Linked DNA regions of Diceros bicornis minor. The protein of the gene in region 1 purifies or fractionates together with the protein of each later gene. This does not show direct contact. Links are inferred from orthologs where the notes say so. Each region holds a gene or a part of one and is shown on either strand. Other genes may lie near its edges. The genes, in order: PPP1R10, PPP1CB and TOX4.

What was found.
Region 2: the proteins of PPP1R10 (region 1) and PPP1CB purify together in Homo sapiens (affinity purification with mass spectrometry; 5 studies listed by BioGRID and IntAct, with this or other methods). This does not show direct contact. The link is inferred for Diceros bicornis minor from reciprocal best matches to the Homo sapiens genes PPP1R10 and PPP1CB.
Region 3: the proteins of PPP1R10 (region 1) and TOX4 purify together in Homo sapiens (affinity purification with mass spectrometry; 3 studies listed by BioGRID and IntAct, counting the BioPlex papers as one, with this or other methods). This does not show direct contact. The link is inferred for Diceros bicornis minor from reciprocal best matches to the Homo sapiens genes PPP1R10 and TOX4.

The regions. Positions count from the first base shown.
Region 1 is NC_080753.1:34,473,091-34,480,790, forward strand, and holds the start of PPP1R10 (serine/threonine-protein phosphatase 1 regulatory subunit 10), read left to right. Parts: upstream 1-4,450; 5' UTR 4,451-4,658; intron 4,659-4,840; exon of another isoform or gene 4,841-4,972; intron 4,973-4,988; exon of another isoform or gene 4,989-5,196; 5' UTR 5,197-5,720; exon of another isoform or gene 5,721-7,700. Other genes in the region: MRPS18B (small ribosomal subunit protein mS40), read right to left, coding at 708-774, 2,574-2,642, 2,770-2,867, 2,975-3,083, 4,254-4,331.
Region 2 is NC_080751.1:54,244,825-54,253,100, reverse strand, and holds the start of PPP1CB (serine/threonine-protein phosphatase PP1-beta catalytic subunit), read left to right. Parts: upstream 1-5,119; 5' UTR 5,120-5,210; intron 5,211-5,426; 5' UTR 5,427-5,514; coding exon 5,515-5,566; intron 5,567-8,276. UniProt on the Homo sapiens protein: Protein phosphatase that associates with over 200 regulatory proteins to form highly specific holoenzymes which dephosphorylate hundreds of biological targets.
Region 3 is NC_080744.1:27,880,544-27,888,394, forward strand, and holds the start of TOX4 (TOX high mobility group box family member 4), read right to left. Parts: upstream 3,001-7,851; 5' UTR 2,929-3,000; coding exon 2,923-2,928; intron 2,712-2,922; coding exon 2,643-2,711; intron 1-2,642. Other genes in the region: RAB2B (ras-related protein Rab-2B), read left to right, coding at 3,335-3,380, 3,615-3,686, 6,090-6,157. UniProt on the Homo sapiens protein: Transcription factor that modulates cell fate reprogramming from the somatic state to the pluripotent and neuronal fate. In liver, controls the expression of hormone-regulated gluconeogenic genes such as G6PC1 and PCK1.

The DNA.
Region 1 (7,700 bases):
GCGATCTGAGAGAGCAGCAAAATAGTCCCTTCAGCCTTCTACAGCCTGACTATAAAACTCCCTAACAAACTGAACTCCACTGATCATGCTGCCATCCCCCAAACAGTGGATTCAGATTATCCTTTGCAAATTTATCTTGCTTCAGAGCAGAGGTTGGCAAAATTTTTCTGTGTAGGGCCATATATTTTAGGCTCTGCAGGTCCTACAGTCAGTCTCAGCTACTCAACTCTGCCATTGTAGCCTGGAGGCAGTCTAGACAATATGAAAACAAATGGACATGGGAGTGAGCTAGATCCTGCCTGTGGTCGTAGTTAAGGAATAGATATAATCTTGAATTGTTAAGATTACAATTCCAAATTTGGGAAATCTAATTGAATTGTCAGTGGTATAAAAGAACTCATGTGACAGTCAGTTTTTGAGAAAGCCTTTCGTAAAAGTGAAGAGATCCTATAGAAAGGAAATAATCACCACCATTTATGTTTTAAGAGCCTCAGTTAAACCGTTTGCTTACATTTGTACCTGCCTGTATCTTTTGTCCACATGTTACCATGTGAGTATCCCCATTAAGCCCAGAATTCCAAAAGGTTCAATCACACTTTTTATGCCGTAAGTAGGAGCCACCAAACAAATACCTGTTGTCTGAAGGAATAAATGAGAACTGCTCCAAGGAAAAGCTACTCTGGTGGTGACAGGGATCATGGGCTAACCTGTGTATGGAGCATGGAAGATGATGCCCGTGTGGGCACAGACAAACTGTTCCAAGAGCTTCACATTCTGTGGGGGAGAGTAGTGGAGAAACATGAGAGAGGGAGGGGAGAGCAGCAAGGCCTTTATAATTTTATTTATTTATTTATTTTTCCCCCCAAAGCCCCTAGGTAGTTGTATGTCATAGTTGTACATCCCTCCAGTTGCTGTATGTGGGACATAGCCTCAGTATGGCCAGAGAAGCGGTGCATCGGTGCGCGCCCGGGATCCGAACCCAGGCCGCCAGCAGCAGAGCGCGTGCACTTAACCGCCAAGCCACGGGGCCGGCCCAGCAAGGCCTTTAGAGACTGAAAGCGCACAATCCCTACACACCCACACGATGACCCTAACCCCTCTATGTCTCTCCAGATGCTACCCTCCTTTACCTCCCAGTTTTAGCCCCATCACTTGACTGAACACATTCTTGAAAACTCCAGCAAACTTTCCCCCTTTCCTGGCCTTTCACCCATTTCACATGTACACCCTACATTTTGTCACTGAGACTCACATAGAATTCTCTTCTGCAGGGGTTAGGATCTAAAATCAGCCCTTCTTGCAAAAAATTGGGGACAGTCAGCTGGCAATTCCTAAAATCACCCAGAAAATGTAATATATATTGTAATGTTCACGTATAAATGATTAATGCATATGATAACATGCTGTATGTAATATATGTATTTATTAGGATCAATTCTACAGTTGTAATTATGTAGAATGACTCTCAGCTACCAAGTTCATTACAGGAGGTGAGACCCAAGGAAAAAGCAGGTACACTTGTGGAGTAGAATGGCAGGCAGAATCATCTACACTATTCAAGTTGTAATCTTTTTCTCTCTCAGCTATGCAATTGATTATAAACTGTATTCAACTGGGTATAATCTCTTTTTATAACCAATCGTACAAAGTTGAAATCGAGAAGTTATCTACTGGACCTCTCTACAACCTGTGTCCCAAGGGGTCTGAGAGTAGTCAGACACCCCCATAGGCCGACTGACACATGCATGCCCTCCAACTTTCCTGATGACCAGACATTCAACTTCTGCTCTAACACCTTTACTACGTGCTCAGAAGAGCACTTTTCCCATTATCATTTTTATAAGGTTTTTGAATTCTTTAAGGAGCAAGTGCTGTCCTCACAATGAAGACTTTTTGGAAAAAACCCTAGACTCTATACCTTGCTTCATGTATCTGTCCCCAGCCCCAACTCTCAGGACACAACAAACATCAACATGACAAAGAAATAAAAGAAAACCTCAGGAAAAAACTAGCCCGATCTACTTGCTAATAATTGTGATGGATGTAAATGAACCTTTGGGCGTTGCTTTCCCATTAGAAATAGGCATTTTTCCTGCCTGCCAATTCAAACTGTAAATTCCATAGGTAAAGGATGAAGCTTTTTCTTTTTTTTTTTGAGGAAGATCAGCCCTGAGCTAACATCCATGCCAATCCTCTTCTTTTTGCTGAGGAAGACTGGCCCTGAGCTAACATCTGTGCTTATTTTCCTCTACTTTATATGGGATGCCACCACAGCATGGCCTGACAAGCAGTACCTCGGTGCGCACCTGGGATCCGAACCTAGCATCCACCAGCAGCGGGGCGCGCACACTTAACCGCTACGCCACCGGGCCGGCCCCGGGATGAAGCTTTTTAGTATAACCCACAGTAGGTGACAAAAGGATGGAGGGAAAGATTTTTTATATTGCCAGAAAGTCAGTACAAAATGGATTGTACAGGCACTAAGATACGAAGAAGAGTGGGCACCTATCGTAATCTCTTCAGCATTGAAAAGAGGCTCCAAATCCTTATCCTGCAGAAAAACGTCTCCTTACCCTAAAGTCGACGTGCAGCTTGTGATCCCGGCAGATAGGGCAGGGATTCCCAGCAACTTTATTTCCACGCTGTAGAGAGAAGAAACTGGCAGGTGAAGATGTTCAAAGCTCTGTCAGAAAAAGTGCTGCTGTCACTGTCACTATGGCCTCCACCTCTACACCCCATCCCATCCATGTGCCACCCCCAGAAACTTACAATGCATGTCTTTCGTGTCCGCTGTGGCGGTATTCCACCTTTGTGATTGCGGCGGTAGTCAGCCCAGACCGGGCGAGAACCATAGCGGTTCTGGTATTCTGAAATGAAAGACCACACAAGGAATTCCTGGGTGGAGGTGGAGAAGGCATCTTTGTCCATTTATTTCAGACCCCATGTGACTCCCCCCTTCCCCATTTAGAGGTACCTTCTGAGTCCAGATATTTCCAGGGTTCATTCTGGTAAGGGGAAATGGGAACCGGGGACACAGAATCTTCCTCACGGGGGGCTTCGGTGCAAAGAGTCTGGCGGAGAACCTACAAAAAGAGTGCGAAAAATAGAATAAGTTCAAGGAAGGCACTTGATTGTTTTGCTGCCTAAACCTTGGGGAAAAGGGGAATGCACGCCCATTGTGTTAATGGAACACAGCAGGAATATACATGGAAGGTAGCATTTTTGTTAGTGTTAAATTGACATCATCAAGGACCACTCTCCCTATCTGGATCCTGAAAAAGAAGCTAATGTTAAGGGCTAACTAGGATAACTGACTGGGAGACAACCTTATTTGAGAAGACAATTGAAAAACCTGACACATGTAAGGTATTCATGTTTTGGGGGATGAACTGAGTCTAGTGGAGCAAAAGGGAGAATGCCTAGCTTCTTGGAGGTAAGATGTGTGGCAGGGAGGGGATACAGAGGCCGGGTGTCTTCAACTCAATTCAAACCCGAATCACTGAGTTGCCCAGCCTTATAAAAAATAGGTCAACATTCCACAGAGCAGAACAAACTTGAGTCCTAACGCCAGCTTTAAAGCTACCAGGCCTGTTATTAACTCCGTGGTGACCCCTGTCACCACTCTTCAGTCCACTTTGGGAGTGGCAGTGGGCAAGCCTTCCTTTCTCACCCTGCCCCACCAAGAACCTGCCCTGTCCTACCAAGAACCTCCAGGGTGGTGAGTACGTGAGACTGGAGGGAAACCTCAATCCAAAGGACTGAGTTAAGCTCTCATGGATACTCTGATAAGAGAGTGACTTAGTGAGATAAAGAGAGCTAAGAAACTGGTCCCCAGGTCGTGAGAATGTATCCTGGTTTTATTCGGAGATAGCAGGGCTGGTAGAAGTTCGTGTCCCTCAACCCAAGGACACTCCAGGACATCACAGGTTTAGACACCAACTGCACGTTTAAGAGCTGGTTGTGCATGACCAACGGGTCCATATTTTCACCTAGTTATTCAGCCGAGATGGTAACTTGGGAAGAAGATGACATCTAACCCTGGCTCTTTACCCTCGGCTCGGGATTAGAAAATGCGCGCAGCATCGAGGAGGGTGAGAGAAAGGGAGAGAGTGGTGGAAGCAAAGTGTTGCCTAGACAGCCGAGGCCCAAGCACTGGGGAAGGTCTCCACTCCTGGATTCCCAGCAGTGGAGCGATAACCTAGAGAAGATAATAACTAAGTTGGGGTTGTACAAAGCGTGCTCCAAGGAGTTACCTGAACTCCGTAGGCGCCTCTGAAGGGCGAAAGGCTAGGGACGCGCCTCAGGAGCGTATTCAATATGGAGGCCGCCATCTTGACGTACTCCCAAAGCAGGAATGGCCCGAAGGGCGACTGCGCATGCTCCAGGAAACTGACTAGGGTAGGGGCAAGGACAAGCCCGCAGTGCGGGGCGAGGCCGCGCACTTGCGTCAGGACGGAAGCGTGGCAGGGGGGCTGTGGGGAGAAGCCAATTTCAACTGCGTCACAATCGAATTCGGCCTCAAAATTGCGTTTTTGCTGAACCGGTCACTATGACTCTTAGATCTCATTCTTAGAATTTGCCTTTTAAACAATTTTGAAGGCGATTTGGACCGAGATCGTCTCAGTGCGCATGCGCCGGCCCGGTTCTACCAACCCAGGGTGAGAAATGTCTCGAGGGCGGAAGTGGTGGAAGGAGAGGAAAGGGAGGGGCTCGGCTCTGCGATCACGCGCACGCGGTGGGTGCCAGGAAGGAGGCGGAAGAAGGTGCTGGGGGGAAGGGGCTGAGCGAAGGCGAAGGAAGGATAGCCAATCAGCTAGAGAGTTGTCTTTTTCGTTGACCAATGAATTCACGCCTCGCGCACAATGTCGCGCGACAAGGGCGTTTCACTAGCACGTTTAGGCGCGTTGGGCGGCGTCCGGGTATAAAAGACTCCGCCCGAGCGGGCAGCCGCCATTCTGGGGTTCGTTTAGAGGTAAGTTTTGGTGTGTTGTCGGTTAGGGGGTAAGATTTTGCGGAGAGCGTTGCGCTGGGAAACGGGTCAGGCATGGGTTCAGTTGAGAGCCATGGTTTATATGAAGCGGCTGTGTTCGTGATGGGATCTGGAGGTGTTTGGGGATAACAAAGATGGAACTTTTGGGTGTTTAAAAGCAAGCCGTACTGATTACATCTTTCTCCTTTGTGTTCCTTTTATCCTAGGTTTGAATTTTCTCGGAGAAAGACAGGCTGCCCGCGAGGAAAAAAGAAACAAGCCGCAGCAACATCTAAGCCCTTGAAAGGATCCTGAGAGAGGGGGGAAAGGGAAAACAGCAGCCACCAGCCCAACCACTTGTGTCTTCTGCCCCTTCCCATCTATCTTGCCCACCCCACCAGCCCACGCTGCTTGGGACTTGAAATCTGTGGCCGAAGGACCGTCACCACATAACTTCAAAAATAATCAACCACCCTCCCTTCCCAAACCCGCCCAAATTCACTCAACCAGCGTTTACTTTTTTGAATCCACTCAGAACTTTTTTTCTACGACCCCCCTCCCTAAATGGAGTTGGGTTGGGGGGGAAATGAATACTGAGTTGGCCTTTATTTTTTTAAGAGACTTTTTGATCCAATGAGGCCCCCAAATAATTGAGTTTTGGGTCCTGGTTGGTTGTTTTATTTTTTTTCTCCAAAATTTTAATCCCCTTCCCCCTGAGCCCGAGGTGCTGACGTCGCAAAAAAATTGGATAGTAAGTGTCGAATTTTCAAAAACCAGCCTTGCAACAAGAAATCAACGTTTCCCGTTGTGAAACCAAAAATAATGAGAGGAAGAAATGAGACCGTAGAACAAAATAGAGAACTGGAGAAGGACCAAGCCGGTCACTCTATCTCCATTAAAAAGGGCCTTTGGGTCTAAACAGTCTTGATCTCTTTCCCCTACCACCTACCTCTTCCTGCCCTGCTGCAGGCAAGGAGAGCGTGGAGGGAGGGCCAGCAAATGAGGATTTTGATGGTTAACCCTTGGTAATCCAGCCAATTTCCAGACTGCCAAAGCCATAAGTGTTTGCTTTTTATAAAGAGGAATGGTTACCTTCCTCTCGTTAGCAGTCTTCAAAAGGGTTAATGAGCTCACATACAAAAGATGGTGGATCTTGAGGCCCAGAAGTCCCACTTCTTTGTGTGTGAGACAAGCAGGGCGCCTTTCAATTTGCCAGATTAATAAGCAATCTGTACATAAAGATTGCAGGGTAAGGAGATGGGCAGAGAAATAATAGCTGGCTATGACTTAAAATGATTGTTAAATCCTCTCAATTTTAATGTAATTTGCTTGGGGTATATTTGTGTGCTTAAAATAGGTGGCAATCTAGGAATAAAGATTGCAAGACACTTAATTCAGGGCAAAATATAATCTTAGTGGCAGTACATACAAGATAATACTTGGGGAGGTAAAGAATGTTTTATAATTGTTGCAGATTGCGTAGGTTATTTAAAAGCAAAAAGTGGTTAACATTTTAACTTGATACTTTTTGGTGGGGGGATACAGTTAAATAGCGGGTGGAAAGGTTGGGAAATGTGGAATTCAGGAGAATAATTTTAAAAGCCATTTAGTGCAATTGAATGCTAGCTTTCTAAAAGATTTGTGTCGTTAAAAGGAATTTTTTTCTTCCCTGCTTCAATATGGCGACTTTCCTTGTCCTTTTGTCTTCCAAGCGGCGGCGTCGCAGGTTGTGTGTTGACCCATTTTTCTCCTGTCCTCCCACCTCGACCCTATTTGATGAGAGGGGTCCAAGTCCTCCCCCTTTCCCTTTATAGGAAGGATGGGGGTGGTCGGTGGTAGCAGGTTGAACCTCAATTGCAAATTCAATTCTTCCCCGCAGAAAATTGTTCTTTTAATATTTTAATTGCTTTTATTTTCACAACGCTCTTACTGACTCCAAATAGGTCAGACCATTCAGGATTGGGGGCTGGTTTTTGTTTTTTTACTAAAAAAGGGTGTTTTTTAATGTAACTAGCTCCCGGCAGAGCCCGGACAGCTTTTTATCTTTTCCTCTTCTTCATTACAAAATGGCGTCCCTGCTTCTTTGTTGTTTTTCTCCCCCTTTTGCCATCCAGAGCTTAGGGCCGCCCTAGAAACTTGGTCAAGGGGGAGGAGCAGCCTTGAAAGGTGATGTAATCAGCTTGCTTCCTCTTCTCTCCACCCTCTTGAAACTCCACCCCTGAGCAGATGCCTTCTGGATTGATTTCCCTGTGCACGCTGCTGCTAGATAGGAAAAGACTTTTTCCTTATTTTCTTTAGAATATTTTATAGCCTTTATCTTAAAAGGAAAAAAGCTTATAGGAATTAGGTCTTGAGGCTGTCCATCTCCTTGGGCAGCTCTAGTTTTTATGTTTAATAATCAGAGCCTGTTGCATTTATTTTCTCTTTTCACTCATCACAACTGCTTGGAAGTTTTCCCTGCTTCAGTTGCCAGGGGTGGAAAGCCCGTCAAACCAACTATCCTTTAAGACCGGGGAGCCTTTTTGGGGAGTGTGTGAGCGTGTGTGTATGTATATATGTGTGTTGGGGATACTGGGGAAAGACACGAGCTTGTGAAAGGATAACTTGAATAGACAAATGGGGCCTAATGACACTGGAATGTCCCATTTCTGCTCAGGAACCAGTCCTTGGGCCTCCTGCATTTGGTCGCTTTGTATAATGAGAATCTGGGGGAGGGTGGGTTCTTGAGGAC
Region 2 (8,276 bases), on another chromosome or scaffold:
AAACCACTTGAAAGTTGGGAAGATCAAGTCTTCTTCAGCACAGAATCAAACATACTAAACGTTTCATAAATACTTAATTGGTTCATTATTCACTTTGCTTTAGAGGTCTATTCACTATAAGACTTCCTTAAATGAATACCATTAGGGCATTTCAATTAAAAATTTATTTGTAATAGGCTGGATTTGGTTTAAATCAAGATTTGAATAGTCAATATTCTATTTAACCAGTGTTTCCTACATAAAAGGACCTATCAGTGTTGGATGTCTCCCCAATAAATATTTTTCACAGCTCACAGACACGTTTGGTTTTAGTTTTAGGAGATCCATGCCACTAATTTTAATGTGGTCTTAGGAGAGAGCTACTCATTTCATAACTACATTAGAAAACTTAATAATGCTTTGTTTGTTTTATTTACCAAAACCAATTGAAACAGAGGCTTATGAAACCATTCAGAAATAAACCCTTTCCAACTGAAAAGGTGACGCATGCATAATTTGGATATGCTCTATGAGGAGAGCAACCATCATTAGAAATGAAACATTTAAATTGTTTTATTCGAAACAAACCTTCACATTTTGTATACTTTTCTTCACCAACACACATAGTTATTTCCTGGTATCTTGTTTGAATGAGCAGTATGGGAGAGCACTGAAAGAGAAACAATCTCACACATGTAGATGACACGGTTTTATTGTAACAAACTAGGAGTGACCCAAATAGACAGCTGGCCCTGTAATCTAATTAGAAGAAAAAAAGAAGGGCCACAGACCAACTCTTCAAAAATTAAATAGTCATCGTTTGAGGTAGCTGCCCATCCAACTTTAATTGCCTTATAGTTAACAGTTCTACACAGCCAGTTAATTCCTTCAATTACTAGGCATTTATTTTGCAATCCTTTTATCTTGAAGGATATACTAGAGAATTAGTTTAAGAAACAACGCTCCACTGCTCCACTGACAGTTTGTGTGTGTGTGCTGGGGGATCAGAATGGGGGGTGGGGTGGGGGTGGGGGGAGAGTGACCAAGGGCAGGGGAAGAGACATTTGCTTCTACCTGGCTTTCTAATTTGGGGGGCTAAAATGACTGAGGACATGCCTTACAACTTAGCCGATAACTTTGGCGCTTGATTATTCTCTCAAGTATGTATTGAAATGAAACCAAAACTAAATCTTAAGGAAAAATCTTGGCCTCGCCTGAGTGTACCACCTAGCCCTGGCTCTGTATTGAGAGGGGTGGCCTCCTACTGATGCATGTGTCTTTGACTGGTTTCTCAATATCATCGAATTAAACCAACTACAAAAGCATATGACATTTGATATAGAGAATGGCTGATCTCAAGGTATATCCAGTAAAATTTACTGCCACTTAAGATTTATTAAAGACTTGATTAAGAGGGATCACACTTATGGAAGAACAACCCAATGAATGTCGATTCATTCATTTACAAGCTACCTTGGATTAGTCAGGGCAGCAGAGAGTTATATATCACTATCACAACCTCCACATTTTGCTACCTAAACCTACTGATTTTCACAATATATTGGCTATTGGTCAACATTGAGAGGCATGTAAAACATCCCTGTGAATGTCTGTGCTGTGTTTACTAAAAGGAATCATGAGGCTGCTGTACATTGTGTTCCAAAGTGCCTTCTTTGAGGACAATTCATAGAGATATCTCTCTGTTCTCAGCACAGAGATGGTTGGGTTCCTCTGAATACTGGTCTGCCTTTATCTAATGGTCACTGGTATGTCCCAGGCATTTCCTCTTAGTAAGTACAAATAAGACCATGATTTTATTAAGACCCAAAATCATGATTCCCCAAGACTCTTGCAATCAGGAAGTCCAATTTCCCTTCACAGACATTTCTGGAATTACCCAAGGATATTGACATTTGTGACCCAAATGTCTCCCTAAGCCCAGTGGTGTGCTGGTAAATGTTTAACAACCAGCTCTCTGGTGGAAAAAGCTATAGATTTATAGCATTTGCTAATTTCTTTGGTGTGACTACTCCCACTGTGGCCAATATGACGTCACTGAACATGGAGCTGGAAAGAGATGCATAGTAGCATATCATTATGTAGTATTTCCACCATACAGATATAATAGATGTAAAAAACCTCTAGACTATACATAATAATAAAATGTAGCAATATAAATCGGATATGATGAATTTTGAGTTATCATTACCTTTGTTCCTTTGTTTTTAGTATAATTTATTTGAAAGTATATAATTTAGTTATTAAACAATGGCTCTGTTTAACAACTGGCTTGCAAAATTCCTGCAAGTTTAACAATTGGCTCTCCTGAGCCAGTGTAAGCTGGCTCCAGGACACCACTACCTAAAGCCCCACTGGGTTGGGAGTCCCAGCTAACAGTTTGCCCTTTGGTCTGTTAGATTAACAATCCTGGTCTAACAAGGAGCAAGCCCTTAGCCTGATTCCTTTCCTGAGTCTTGCTACACATCCATAAAGAGTGACAGGCAGTTTCCTACATGCAATCAGAACCACTACTTGCCACTCCTCTGTTCCAAAGTCTGCTGGTCTCCAGGCTTGGGTGCTCTACAGGGCTGCTGCCCACCACAGTGCCTGGTCCAACCAATGTCTCCTACACCACTGGCAGCCTTCTTATGTCTCTGCTTCCAAGGTGCTAGCTTCCCCAAATGGTGACCTCCACTCTGCCCCCAGGCCACTGCTCATACTCAGGCCAAGAGCCTCCTCAATGTCAGCATCTGCCAAATGGGGCTTCCCTCTCCTTGGTACCCACCTACTCTTGAACCTCATGGTGGCTCCCACTGCCTCTATTGCTGCTGCTGTCTATAGCACTGTCAACTCCAGCCTCCAGATCTCCCCTCTTACTTCTTCCTCTGTCCTCAATCTCCTATCCACATTTTTTTTTTTTTGAGGAAGATCAGCCCTGAGCTAACATCCATGCTAATCCTCCTCTTTTTTTGCTGAGGAAGACCGGCTCTGAGCTAACATCTATTGCCAATCTTCCTCCTTTTTTTTTTTTCCCAAAGCCCCAGTAGATAGTTGTATGTCATAGTTGCACATCCTTCTAGTTGCTGTATGTGGGACGTGGCCTCAGCATGGCCGGAGAAGCGGTGCGTCGGTGCGCGCCCGGGATCCGAACCCGGGCCGCCAGTAGCGGAGCACGTGCACTTAACTGCTAAGCCATGAGGCCGGCCCCTCCTATCCACATTTTAAAGTCCAAAGAAAATTTGAAAACTGAGTGTCATGTAAATGTGGCACCAAAACTCATTGAACAAAGTAGGATAAGATGCAAGTGATGCATAATCTCAATTTTATAAAATAGGTGTGTGTGTGTGTGTGGATATATATATATATATATTTTTTTTTCCCCCCAGAAATAAGACAGGAAAGTGGTTATCTATGGATGCTGAAATTACAGGTGATTTTTATATTTTTTTCTTTGTTTTCCAAATTTCCTTCAATCAACACATTTTATTCTGAAAAAAAAGGCTACGTTAATGGCAAATTTGACCTAAACTGATATGAGGCATAATGTAGTCTTTATTTATCTTACATGATGTGAATATTCATGATTTCTTTAAAAAAATTAACGTTTCAGACTATAGTGAGCTGCCCCAGAAGCTGCTGGGGTGTTAAGTAATATAGAGTACATGCACCTCTTAAACTTCAAAATCTGAAGAATTCTGAATCTGAATTCTTATATAATTTTGGAGGGGGATTCCCACAGAAAAGTTGGTTGGGCCCCTAGTGATATAGCTCTTTCATTTTTATAACAGCCGTTTCTTTCCCAGGATTCCAAGGCACCAGAAAACCTGGTTGGGGGTGGAGAAGGGGACATCCGCAGGCAGTACTCAGAACCACTCTCCAATATATGCTGACTCCCAGAACTTGCTGAGTCTGGCCTCTCTCTGCCCCATTCGTGGTGATTTTCTCTCAGATGCTCATTTTCTTTGCGCAGTCCAGTTTCCTTTGGGTGTCCCTTGTCCATTAAATATATCTGCATATATTCGAACCTTAATTGTGGACAGGGTTCAAAGTTCTTTTTCATGGGATTCATGGGCCCCATGAAAACTGAAGGATAAGCAGACACCTATTTAAGTGTTCCCAAGCATTATGTTGCTCTTTAAGAGGCTCATGGAAGAGCCTTGGGAAAGTGGCATCTAACTCCACAATCTGATGTCTTCACGTCCCAGTTCCAGCTCAGCCAGAACACCTACCCCACTTGCAACCCATCTTTTCCTTGATTGCCAGAACGCTTAGAATCATATCTGTGGCCTATGCCTAGCAAACGATGCATTTTACATACAAAACTGCTGGTTTTATCTTACCTTTCCCACGCTGTTTTCTTTTGTCCTATTTTTCTCTGTACTTATTTTTAATTTATCCTACTGCATTTATTTACGTAAGCTACCTTAAACTCCTTCTTCTGAAATAAAGCAGAGTATAAATAAATGTTCTTTAACAGAGTAGACGGAGACGTAATGATGCCAGCCCGAAGGTACCTGAATACCCGATGACATCAGTAAGATATATATGAAAGCGCTAAACAGAAGGCAGAGAGTGGTATCCCCGTAAAATATTACTATTGCTAACCCTTCCAGGGCCCACTTGAACTTATTTCATCCAAGGACACTTGGACAACTAGCCTTGTGGAACGGTAGGGTATAAAACCCCTTATTTGCAACGTCAGATGTTTCCAGCAAAGGAACCCCTTCTTGCTTTTCAAACGCGCAAACCCGGGTTTCAAACATGAGTAACACAGTCCGCGTTTCCCGTTTAACGGAAACAGGAGGAATTGCTTGCAAAACCAGGGAATAAAGCCAAGAAAAGTAAAGCGAGGCGGGAAACGCACAACTACTGCGTCTGCACAGCGCCCCAACAGAGGCCGCTGGGAACCCGGAAGAGCAGCACAACCTAAGCGCGCTCTGCGTAATGGGAACTTCCTCGGCGCAGCAAACCCGGGGAGCCTCTTGGGCGCCTGCGCGCTGCGGCGATTCGGCGCAGTGAAAGGGGCGAGAGAGGGCGACGCACCTGCGCAAAGGGGGCGGCGGCGGGCGAACCGAGTCCAGTGCGGTTGCGCGAAAGCCGGGGCGTGCGGGGGGGGGGTGAGGGCCGTGGAGGAGTTCGCCGTGCGCCTGCGCGGAGGTCTGCGTGGCGCGGTGGCGGGGAAGGGCGGTGTGGAGTGAGTGGCCCTGCGGGTGGGGCCGTCGGCGGCGCTGGTGAGCTTTGCGGAGTTGGGCGGTGCCGAGGAGGAGGAGGTGGCGGCTGGGTCTGACGCGGCCCGGTTCGTGGGGGCTCCGCTTGTTTATTTATTTATTTCTCGAGTGTGCCTCCGAGTGTGCGCGCGCTCACTACTTGGTGGGGAGGGGGTGGGGGGAGGGCCCCGGGGCAAAGGGGGAGTTGGAGCCGGGGTCGAAACGACGCGTGACTTGTAGGTGAGGGAACGCCGAGCCATCGCCGCAGCCTCCGCCGCCGAGAAGCCCTTGTTCCCGCTGCCGGGAAGGAGCGTCTGGTGCCGACAAGATGGCGGATGGGGAGCTGAACGTGGACAGTCTCATCACCCGATTGCTGGAGGGTGAGTGCGGGGCCCGGCCGGCCGCAGGGGGGCCGCCTGCCTCGGTCCTCGTTCCCGCTCCGCCGCCGACATCCGAGGGGACCCCCTTTCCCGCCCCAAGGCGGCCTCCGAGGAGGGGGCGAAGAGGCCGGCTGGTCGGGGGAGCGGCCTCCGGGAACGCGGTCGGGGGGAGGCAGGGCGAGAGGGGCTGTCCCTGCAGGTGGCCGGGCGGGCAGTGCCCCCGCGGACCTTCGGCGACCGGGCCGGCGGCGCGCCAGCCGGGGGGTGCTCGGAGCCCCTTCCCAAGGAGGGCGCCGGGATGCGTGCTCCTGTGCGTTGTGTGTGCGTGGAACGTGTATTTCTCTCTGTTCTCTTTGTGCATTGCCCTTGGCTGTCTTGGATTCTTGTTCCGGGAGTGAATTTTATAAAAACCTGCTTGAGACGATTGCTTGATCTAGTGTTCTACGTTTTCATATGATGCTATAGGACGAACTCTATTTAAGGAGAGGATAACATTAGCGGGAGTTAAGTACCTCCCATTTGTTGTTTAGCTTAAAAAAATAGTAAAACAAAAGTCGTTGAGCTGAAGATGCACGCAAGAACTGTGAAATATGTAGATACGTTTGCTGAAGGGATTGGCTTTCCGGCTTGAGAATTGAACAGGTTTCAGCAGGATTTAATTTCTGCACGAACTTAGAAAAGATCTGTTGTAAAGATTCTCGTGTTTAAAAGGTATTTACAAGTCTTCGCAGCTTTTGAAGTTTACAGGCTCTTCTGTTTTTGTTGAACAGTTTTATGTTGGGTTAGGGGATTGAGGGAAAGCGAAGAGATCTCGGAGAGGCCAGGATATTATTCAAAGTTAATCGCGGTCTTCTGCCAGTGAATCCCCGTACCCTAAAATTTGCGTCATCACTAATTGCTTTGTGAGTGTGTAGAAAAGAAATTAAGCCTTTACATTTAGAATCCTCTCTGTCAGGAACCAGCGAAGGATTGCATATGCAGTAACTGTTATTACTTCCTTTCAGATTACCTGAAGGTAATTGTTTACTACAGTGAAGCAGTCTGTAGTTACATTTGGAAAATCATCAAAGAAGATTGTATGATTGGGAGTGGGGGGAGGGCGCTAGTTCCTTTTTTCAACCAGTATGTCGATATCTCATCGGTTCTGTATGTACCCATTGTGTAACAAACTACAGTTTATTTGCTCCAGATGTGAAAGCCTTCCAGCAGTCTAAGACTGAATGAGAAGCAAAGTTTCATCGGGAAGTCTTATTTACCTTTTCCTTTACTATCAAGTTATTCCTGGGAGGCCCCCTGGTGCCTGCAGTCAGTGTTCACTACTTAAGACTTTGTGGACTTTAACAGATGTGCACATCTTGCTGGGTCTGTGAGACATTTGCTTTGACAAAAATTGTATTTTGTAATTGTGCCTTGTTGAAAGAGGAAAATATAGCTATTTAAGAACTTTAATGTCTTGTTAACTCTTGGGGAAGTTTAGGCCCATCACCATTTTTATACATTTTAAAATTGGCTTGTAAATTTAAATATTTTAAAAATTTAATGTTTTTATATCAACTTCTTCACTTTTATTTTCCATATACTTACATATTTATATACTTCATAGGAATAAAATGGTAGATTTATGTATTTCGAAATGGTTGATCTGGAACTTTTTAAGTCAAACGTACTTGTTTTTTTTCCCCTTTGTGAGGGAGATCAGCCCTGAGCTAACATCCGATGCTGATCCTCCTCTTTTTTGCTGAGGAAGATTGTTCCTGGGCTAACATCCGTGCCCATCTTCCTCTACTTTATCTGCGGCTCCGCCACAGCATGGCCTGACAAGCAGTGCATCCATGCGCGCCCTGGATCCGAACCCTCGAACCCTGGGGCTGCGGAAGCAGAGCTAGAGCACTTAACCACTTGCACCACCGGGCTGGCCCCTAAACGTATTTTTTTGTGATTATAGATATGTCAGAAGCTTCACTAGTGGATTGTTCAAGGTTATTGGAAAAAAGATATGGTAGGAAAAATAGGCTGAGTGAGTGATTCCATTTCTTTTTGTGAACTCAAATTGAACGTTTGGTTTTGGACAATCTTTTTTCCTTCTTTTGGTGAGAATTCTAGTCCAGACATTTTCCCCTTTTAAATTACCAAGCATTTATTGACCTGCTTTGTGCCAGTCACCAGGAATCCAAAGATAAGACACAATCTCTTTACTCAAGGAGCTCCCAGTCTAAACAAGTGATTTTCAGGCTTTCCTAGCCTCCTCTCTGTTTATGTGTTCAACACACTCCCATCAGTAAAGAATTTCATTACTTGCTTCTTAATCCCAGGAAGTACATTTAGTTTGACAGTGCCTCTCTGGGGTTCTTAAATTCTCCAGGCTCCTCTCCTTCCCCCCTTCAAAATTTAGACCCATTCCAAAACAGACTTTGATTTTCTAATAAGTATTTTTAGTCTTCAAATAAAAATTTTTTTGTCTGCCTTGATTTTCAGTGATGTTACATGCTAATTAAATTTAACTCAAATTCAACTGGTGGCATTTTGTAAAGCTGCCTAGCAGAATAGCTACAGTTAATTTTTTTTTTTTTTTTTGTAGTATTAAAGGAACTTACAACTTAAAATTTGGCCAGAATTTCTCTCCATTGGGGGAAAAAATCAGCAGGACTGGATCTCATTTTAAAATGTTGATTGTAGTTCCACAGCATATTCTTGATTCTTTTTTCTTATA
Region 3 (7,851 bases), on another chromosome or scaffold:
CAATTAACCACCACCAGATCAAAAATACAGAACATTTCTATCACTCTAAATGCTCCTTCCCAGTCAATACTCCCTCCCTTCCACAACAGGTACAACTATTCTGATTTCTATCACCACAGTTTTGTTGTTGTTAGTGCCACCAAGTTGATTCTGACTCCAAGCGACCCTGGGTACAGCAGAGCGGAAACCTGCCCATTTTTGCGCAATCCTCTCATCTTCCGGCACCGTATCACCATAGTTTAGTGTTGTCTATTCTTGATCTTCATTAAAAAATGAATATAGTGCCTACTCTTTTATGTCTGGCTTCTTCTACTCAACGCTACATTTTTGAGATCATCCAAGTTGCATTCATTTGTAGTTTGTTCTTTTTTATTGCTGTGTAGTATTCCTTTCTACACATGTACCAATTTACAGACATCTGGATTGTTTCCAGTATTCAGCTATTATGAATAAAGTTGCTGTGACCATACACATTTTTGGAGACTATATGCACTCACTTCTCTCATGTATATATCAAGGAGTGGAATTACTAGTTAGGTATATGTTTATCTTTAGTAGACAGTGCCCATTTTCCAAAGTGGTTGAATCAATTTACACTCTCACCAGCAATGATTAAGAGTTATCTACATCCTTGTCAACTCTTGGAATTGTCAGTCTTTTAACTATTCTGATGTATGTGCAATGGTGTCTTGCTATGATTTTAATTGGCATTTCCCCAGTGAGTGATGATGTCACTTTTTCATATGCCTGATGGTAATTTGGATATCCTCTCTTGTGAAGTTTGTGTTCAAATCTTTTGCCCATTTTTAAATTAGATTCTTTCTTTTATTCTGCAGAAGTATTTGATATATTCTGAATGAGTCAGATATATGTATTAAAATATCTTCTCCCAGTCCGTGGCATGCCTATTTAATGTTTTAATGATGTCTTTTGATGAAAAGAAATTCCTCATTTCAATGAAGTTCAATTTTTCAATTTTTTTATGGTTAGTACTTTTATGGACATCTATCTTTTTCTTAGAAGAAAACTCTAAAATTACTCTTCTCCTAAAAGAAAACTTTAAAAATATTACCTTTACCTAGTTCTAAGTTATATTTGGGGTGGCCCACGGTAAGACAGATATGACAAAAACCACAAACTAATTAAAATAAAAAGGTTAAAAAAAACAAGAAGGAAAGGGAAGGTGAAGAAGTTGTAATGAGGAGAAGGAGAACTGTTAACAATGACAAAGCCCTGGGCTAAAGGAAGCTACTGAAATTTAGTTATGAGCATCTTGGCAAAACAGTTTTGTTTTTTAATTTCTCAAAGTCATAGAAGTAAAAACAAAGAATCAAATCTAGAAAGTTTCTTGAAGAGGCCAATGTGAAACTTACAACAGTCTAAATAAAGAAATTTAAATTGTGGAGACCTGATTCAGAAGAAATTGGCAATGATGCACTTGCATGTGGATGAGGCCAATGTGAGATTTACTATGCTCCAAATAATGAAATTAAACCACAGAGATATCACTCAGAAGAAACTGGCAATGAGACTGCAAAGCATCAAACAGATTTTAGTTTTATAACATTTCTAAATTTGCTGCTCATTTGATTCATATTTTTCCCTGCTTAGGAGAATAATAATAACAATTAAAAAAAGTTAAAAAAAACTAGCAACTGTCTCTTGTCAATCTAATTCTCATTCATGAAAACGTTAAAATTTATTATAGGATAAGCCCATTCAACAGCAATTGAGAATTCTTGGTATAAAAAACTTATGCAAATGGTACACACTACTTCTTAAAAAGAAAATTAAAATCCTCAAAAGATAGTAGCAAGTTCAAGACTTCACAGTTTCTCAAAGACCAGGAAATTTATTTTTGTCTGTTCCATCTTTCTCTTTGCCTATAAGTAAGTAATACATATCTATATTATGACAATATTTCAACCCAAACTTTTCTACGAATACTAAAGGACCTCACCATAACCATTACTTCTATTTCACATCACAATAAAACTATTATTACAGCCATTTGACAGCTGGGGAAACTATGACATACAAAGGTGAAGTAACCTGCCCAAACTCTGAGTCGCTGGCACACAGAAACACATGTTCTACTCAACTCCCTTCCTGTTTTCTAGCAACTATCTCCTTTTATCCTGTCACTAGCAAAACTAACACCATGTACGTAAACATAACTATAACTTTTCTTTTTACCACTGAGCAGGAAATTGAAGTGAGACAAAGACCCCTTCAACAGAGTTCAAGAATGAACAAATGTCCACAGTTAACCCCGGCTAGGTAAACTCCTCCCCTCACCCCAATTTCTTCAGCTGAAACATTTCTTCCAGCTGCGATCCCCCAAGATTGTTGCAGTTATTTCTCTCGAACGAAAGGAGACAATTCCACTCTGCCTTCCGATCCACTCTCTCTCTTAAATAGGTTAGCTCCTTCCAACGTCCTGCTTTTCTGATGACAGCAGCTTCCCGGGCCTTCCCCATAGTCCTCATAGGCTCTAGAAGCAGCTGCCACTTTTCCCTACACACCAATCGCGGCCCCTGGTTCCCAGCCCCCGGTCCCCGGCGTCCGCGCTCTCCTCCCCGCCACCCTGCCCCACCGCTGCCTCACGCCCTCCCCCCACAGCGTCGGCAGCTCGTGCTCACCTCGGCCCCCGACAGGAAGGGGTGCGAGGGCCCTGTGATCGTCAGGTAATTGTCATTTCCTCCGGGAAACTGGAAACCAAAAGAAAGCCGCGGGGATAAGTTAGGGGGAGTAGGGACTTAGCTCGGAGCGACGGATTCTGACCCCGACATTCTGACAACACTCCCCAAACCCCGCTCTCTCGCCCCTCCCGTCGGCCGCCTCTCCGCCCAGCTTCCCGCCTCCGCTTCAACTGCGTTGGCCGCGCTCTCTTGCCAGCCTTCTTAGCGTTCAGCGTCCTACCTCCATCTTCACACAACGGCTACCAAGGTCTCAGTCCCCTCATCGCTCCCACCGCCCCCACAGGGCTCGAAACCGCCGTCACTTCCGCAAAGACGTGCGTCGCTCTGCGCTGATTGGAAGGAGCGCCGTGGGGCTGTTGCGAGTCAGGCCCGGGAAGGCCGAGCGGACGGAAAGGCTAGCTATCGCCCCCTGGAGCTTGGTGGTATCATGGCACGTAGAAGTGTTAGAGGCGTCCCCGCAGGCCGTGTCTCGGTATTACCGTCGCTCTGACCGAGAGAAGATTTCTGTGGAGAGCAATAGAGACGTGATCTGGGCTAGAGGGGCCGGAGATCGGTAGATTGAGTGGCTAGAGAGGCCGGAGGTTAGTGGCTGTAGAAGTCGGGCGGACCCGGAATCCAGAGGAAACGGGACCATGACTTATGCTTATCTCTTCAAGTACATCATCATCGGGGACACAGGTAACCCGCGGGCGGCTGCCCTCAAGGCTGGGGCGGGGATCCTAAGCTCCCAAATTGGGTCGTGGGGGCGGGGCTCCTTTAGTGGGCTGGGCGATTTCGAGAAGAGCGGGCGGGGGCGGGGCGGGACGGCCGGGGGCGGGGCTCGGGGCTCCCCTTCCCCAGTCCCGGACGGCCGGCCTCAGAGACTGTTCCTTAGCCGGTGTGACTCCTGGAACGCTCGTTCTTCCCTTTCAGGCGTGGGGAAGTCATGTCTCCTCCTGCAGTTTACAGACAAGCGGTTCCAGCCTGTCCACGACCTCACAATAGGTAAGTGCATCTACCTGTCCCAGAACAGATAATAATGGCTGACTAGCTAAACGGGAAAGTTAGGAGCCTTCATTGTTCGAAGTAAAAAGTTACCTCTTTCTACTTTTAAACTAGTCCAAAGTTATGTTAAATGAAGAGTGGCTAACCAAATGCTGATAAATGGGTAGTGTAGTGGGGTGTAAATAATTGAAAGGTAACTTTAGAGATGAACGTGAGGTATGGATCAACAGCTGTAGGACTTTTTTTTTCCCCTCCAAATGCCATTTGTGTGTTTATGGAAAATCCCACGAAAGCATAACTACTTATTCAAAAATTGGCTTTGCAGTAAATTAATGCTAACCTCACATGTTTTTCAAAGTAATCACCAATACAGGGAATTTTTTGTGTGTTGGAGAGGAAAAAGCAAATTGAAGAGCCATCCCAGACTTAGAATTAAAGAGTGAATGAAACTATCAACTTTTCTTGTAAAGAAAAAGAGTATGGTCGAGTTCCAAAAGCACTGGTGATCTTGGAAAGTGTAAACATGTGCCACGCATTTGTGTTAAGGCATGGCCTGCTGGGGCTTTACTAACCCCTTCCCCATAATCTGCGTAACCCCAGCCCAAATAAAGAGTATAGGTATATAAAACTAGCCTTCTTGCCATGCAGATGCAGTTTCTGAACAAAATCCCTAGCTCTTATTTTTACCATGTTGTCACTTCAAGTCCCACCTTTTGGAAATCTGAAGCTGCTACTGCTCCCAAAGGACTTATTCAGAGCCAAATAACTAATGGGGTTAGAAAAGGATTTAGAGGATAGCATCAACAGGAAAATGTTTTTGTAAATAAATATCAAGTGAACACCCACACTGTGATATGTGCTAATGATACAGTGCTTAACCAGGCAAACATTGTGCCTGCCGGTCAGTAGTTTACAGTCTTCCAATGTAGGAGGTGGGGCTGGGAGTAGATCCTGACAAATAAATTCCTATTGCAGAAGGGAAAGAAAGGCTGCCACCTCTCTCAGGAAAGGCTGAAAATTGAAGAAAGAGTAGGAGTTATCCAGGCAAAGGTGTAGAGATAAGGGAAAGGTGATCAGGGCAAAAGGCAATAACATATGCAAGGCTTGGGAATGGCAGAGATCAGGCTAACTTTGGAAAACTGAAAGTCATTTTAATATGGCTGGAGTATGGAGTTTGAAGTGGAGAGTGGCAAAAAATAAAGCTAGAGAATAAAAAAGGTGCCAAGTCTTGAAACACCTGAAGGTAATGGGAGCAAATGACAAGCTTTAAAACGGAGGAATGAAATGATCCAAGTTTTCCCCAGTGTCCAATATAGGCTGTGTTTCTTTCTGAATTCAGTCTTCTGTACCAAGATAAACAGGCAGTTGGAAAGAAAATAGGTGCAAAATATAATGGTCTCTGAGTGCATAACTAGAGGAAGTTGCATAAAAGGAATCAAAAGTTTTAGTTTTTAATTCTTCCTCATTGAAATTCCATTCCCATTGTCCAGAAAGAAGAAAAAATTTAGTGACTTTTTTCAGTAGCTATCACTTCTTGATGAAGCAGTCTAGAGTAGTAAGAAACAATTTTTATATCTTTCTTATTGACTGCAGCACCTTCGAGGTGAGAGAGACATTCTGGATATATTATACACGGGGCCACCGAATAGGCACATATCAACCCTTTATTGGAAGCTACATTAGTGCTTTTTCTTACTTGGAAATCAGAATTCCTCAAGTACTATGTAAAGAACAGAAAATAGGACAAATTTTCTGATTTATGATCAAGTATTTTTAATGCAAGTGATATTTGATTTTTAAATTTTGTCCTGACATTAACTTGAAAGAAGATAAATGCCAGGTGAACCAAAACCTTTATTCAGACTGTATGTTTCCATATTCCTATGATGGAGGCTCTTTTCCGATGACCTCTGGGAATTATTGGAGATCTGAAAGGTATCAGTCTTGAGAACCTATTTCTTAGATAGGTTCTTTTCTCAAACAAAAAATTCTAGAATTGCAAAAAAGAAATACTGTTTTATAGAGGACTACAGAGTGACTCAGAAAATGTTAGGAAATATTTTTAAAGTTTTTAGAAATTACAAAATTAAACATTACCTAATCAAATCTAAGCATTAACTAACATTGCTAAATTTGGCTTCTTATTTAGTTTTATCCCTGTATCTGCTTTTTGGTTACATTCCTAAGGTCATTAACACCCAGAACACTGTTTTTAATTCTAGGAGGGAAAAGAAACTTTAAGGAACACAGAATTAATTGGAACAAGTAGGCAGTAGTAATGGGCTTAGTGGCACTGAGTGCAGACAGAGCGTCATTAGCGCATTGAGGAAAAGCATGAACCTCTCACTCAACATGGCTGTTGTTCATGAGAATCATATTCTTTCTCTTGATCTTCACTGACAGGTGTGGAGTTTGGGGCCCGTATGGTCAACATTGATGGAAAACAAATCAAACTGCAAATCTGGGATACGGTGAGAAAGGACAAAATAATTTAGTCCCCAACTATGCCCCAAATAGAACAGTAAAGGCTGATGCAGGGGAAAAGGGCTCTGATGGTGGGGCTCATGGTGGAAATGAGAGTAGGGGAAGGATGAAAGCAAAGAGGTAGGGAAGCTTTCCCTTCCATTTGTTATGCTTGCAGATTCTGACTGCCGTTATCTTTTTATTTTTGTTTTAAATTACCCAAGTAATATATATGAGTTTGTTCTACTAAAAATAAAAGCAAATAATATAAGTGTATAGAGTAAAAATTGAATGTCCCCCTCACACACACAAACCTCTTGTCCCTCCCAATCTTGGTTTTTGCTTTGCCAGAGTAAACCACTATTACTGATTCAGTGTTTATGCTTTCAGACTTTTTCTCTGCATTTAGATACATACATTTAAACATATACAGATATATGGTATGGTTTTGTTTCTGTTAGTTTTTTCACGTATAGAATCATGGCAAAGTGGACCTATCTGTGTGACTTAGGTTTTTTTATTTAACAATCTCTATGATTTAAGACTTGGTCCCTGTCTTTAGACATTTTCATGTCAATACATACAGATCTACCTCATTCCTTTTAACCACTGCATAGAATCCCTCCCCAAAGCCCCAGTACATAGTTGTATATTCTAGTTGTAAGTCATTCTTGTTCTTCTGTGCAAGCCGCTGCCACAGCATGACTACTGACAGACGAGTAGTGTGGTTCCACGCCCGGGAACTGAACCCAGGCTGCTGAAGTGGAGCACGCCAAACTTTAACCACTGGGCCATCAGAGCTGGCTCTGATCAGATTTTTCATCTCACCACATTGTAGGAACATGAATCACTTCACATCTCTGATAATGGTAGCACTAGCCAGATCCCTCTAAAACTTCCAAACTCACTTCTAAACAGCTTGTTCCCTTCCATTTTCATTATTGGGGCCCAGGGGTTCTTTGTTAGTATTAATCCAAGTAGATATTACAACGCTCCTTTTATTATCCCCTGGTTTTTATATTTCCCACAAAGGTAGATTTGGCTACCTAAAGAGGCCACAGGACAAATTCTGAGGAGGTGACAAAGAGTGAAGCCTGTAGGTGTCAAGACAGGTATTAGCTAGATTCTGCCTTTTTAACCTAAACCTCTACCATTTCCAAAAATGGATGCTTTGATGCTAGGAGACCTAATAGCTGCCAGTTAGTGGTATGGTCATGGTCATGGAAGTGTCTTAAGTTTTGGCTTGCTGGCTTTTTTTTTTCCTTAAGTGATAGTATGAGACATGATTGGATCATGAAATAAGAAAGTTGAGAGCCACTGCTCTATTGACACACATGGAACCACATGTGAAGAACCACATGGCCTGATAGTCACTTGTAATGCAACTGATCTAGTTCTTGTCTGCTCTCTTTTAATAATTGTTTTGAAATTATACTAATTTTTGTTGAATCGTAAAAAGATACCATGTTTCAGAATATTGGAGTTTTCTATTTTGAAATTATTAAGAGATTCCTACCTATAATGTAGGAATTGTCTTGTCTGCCACTTTCTGGGTAAGCCTGATCATTTCTCTCTTGTCAGCCTTGTCCTCCTGCCCATTAGAGGTAGCTTCCCCACCTTGGCTTCCCACTTTGTTGACCCTACTTCCTTACTCCCAAAACCATCCTACATGAAAATGTTTAGGGATTACCATGAGGGTATT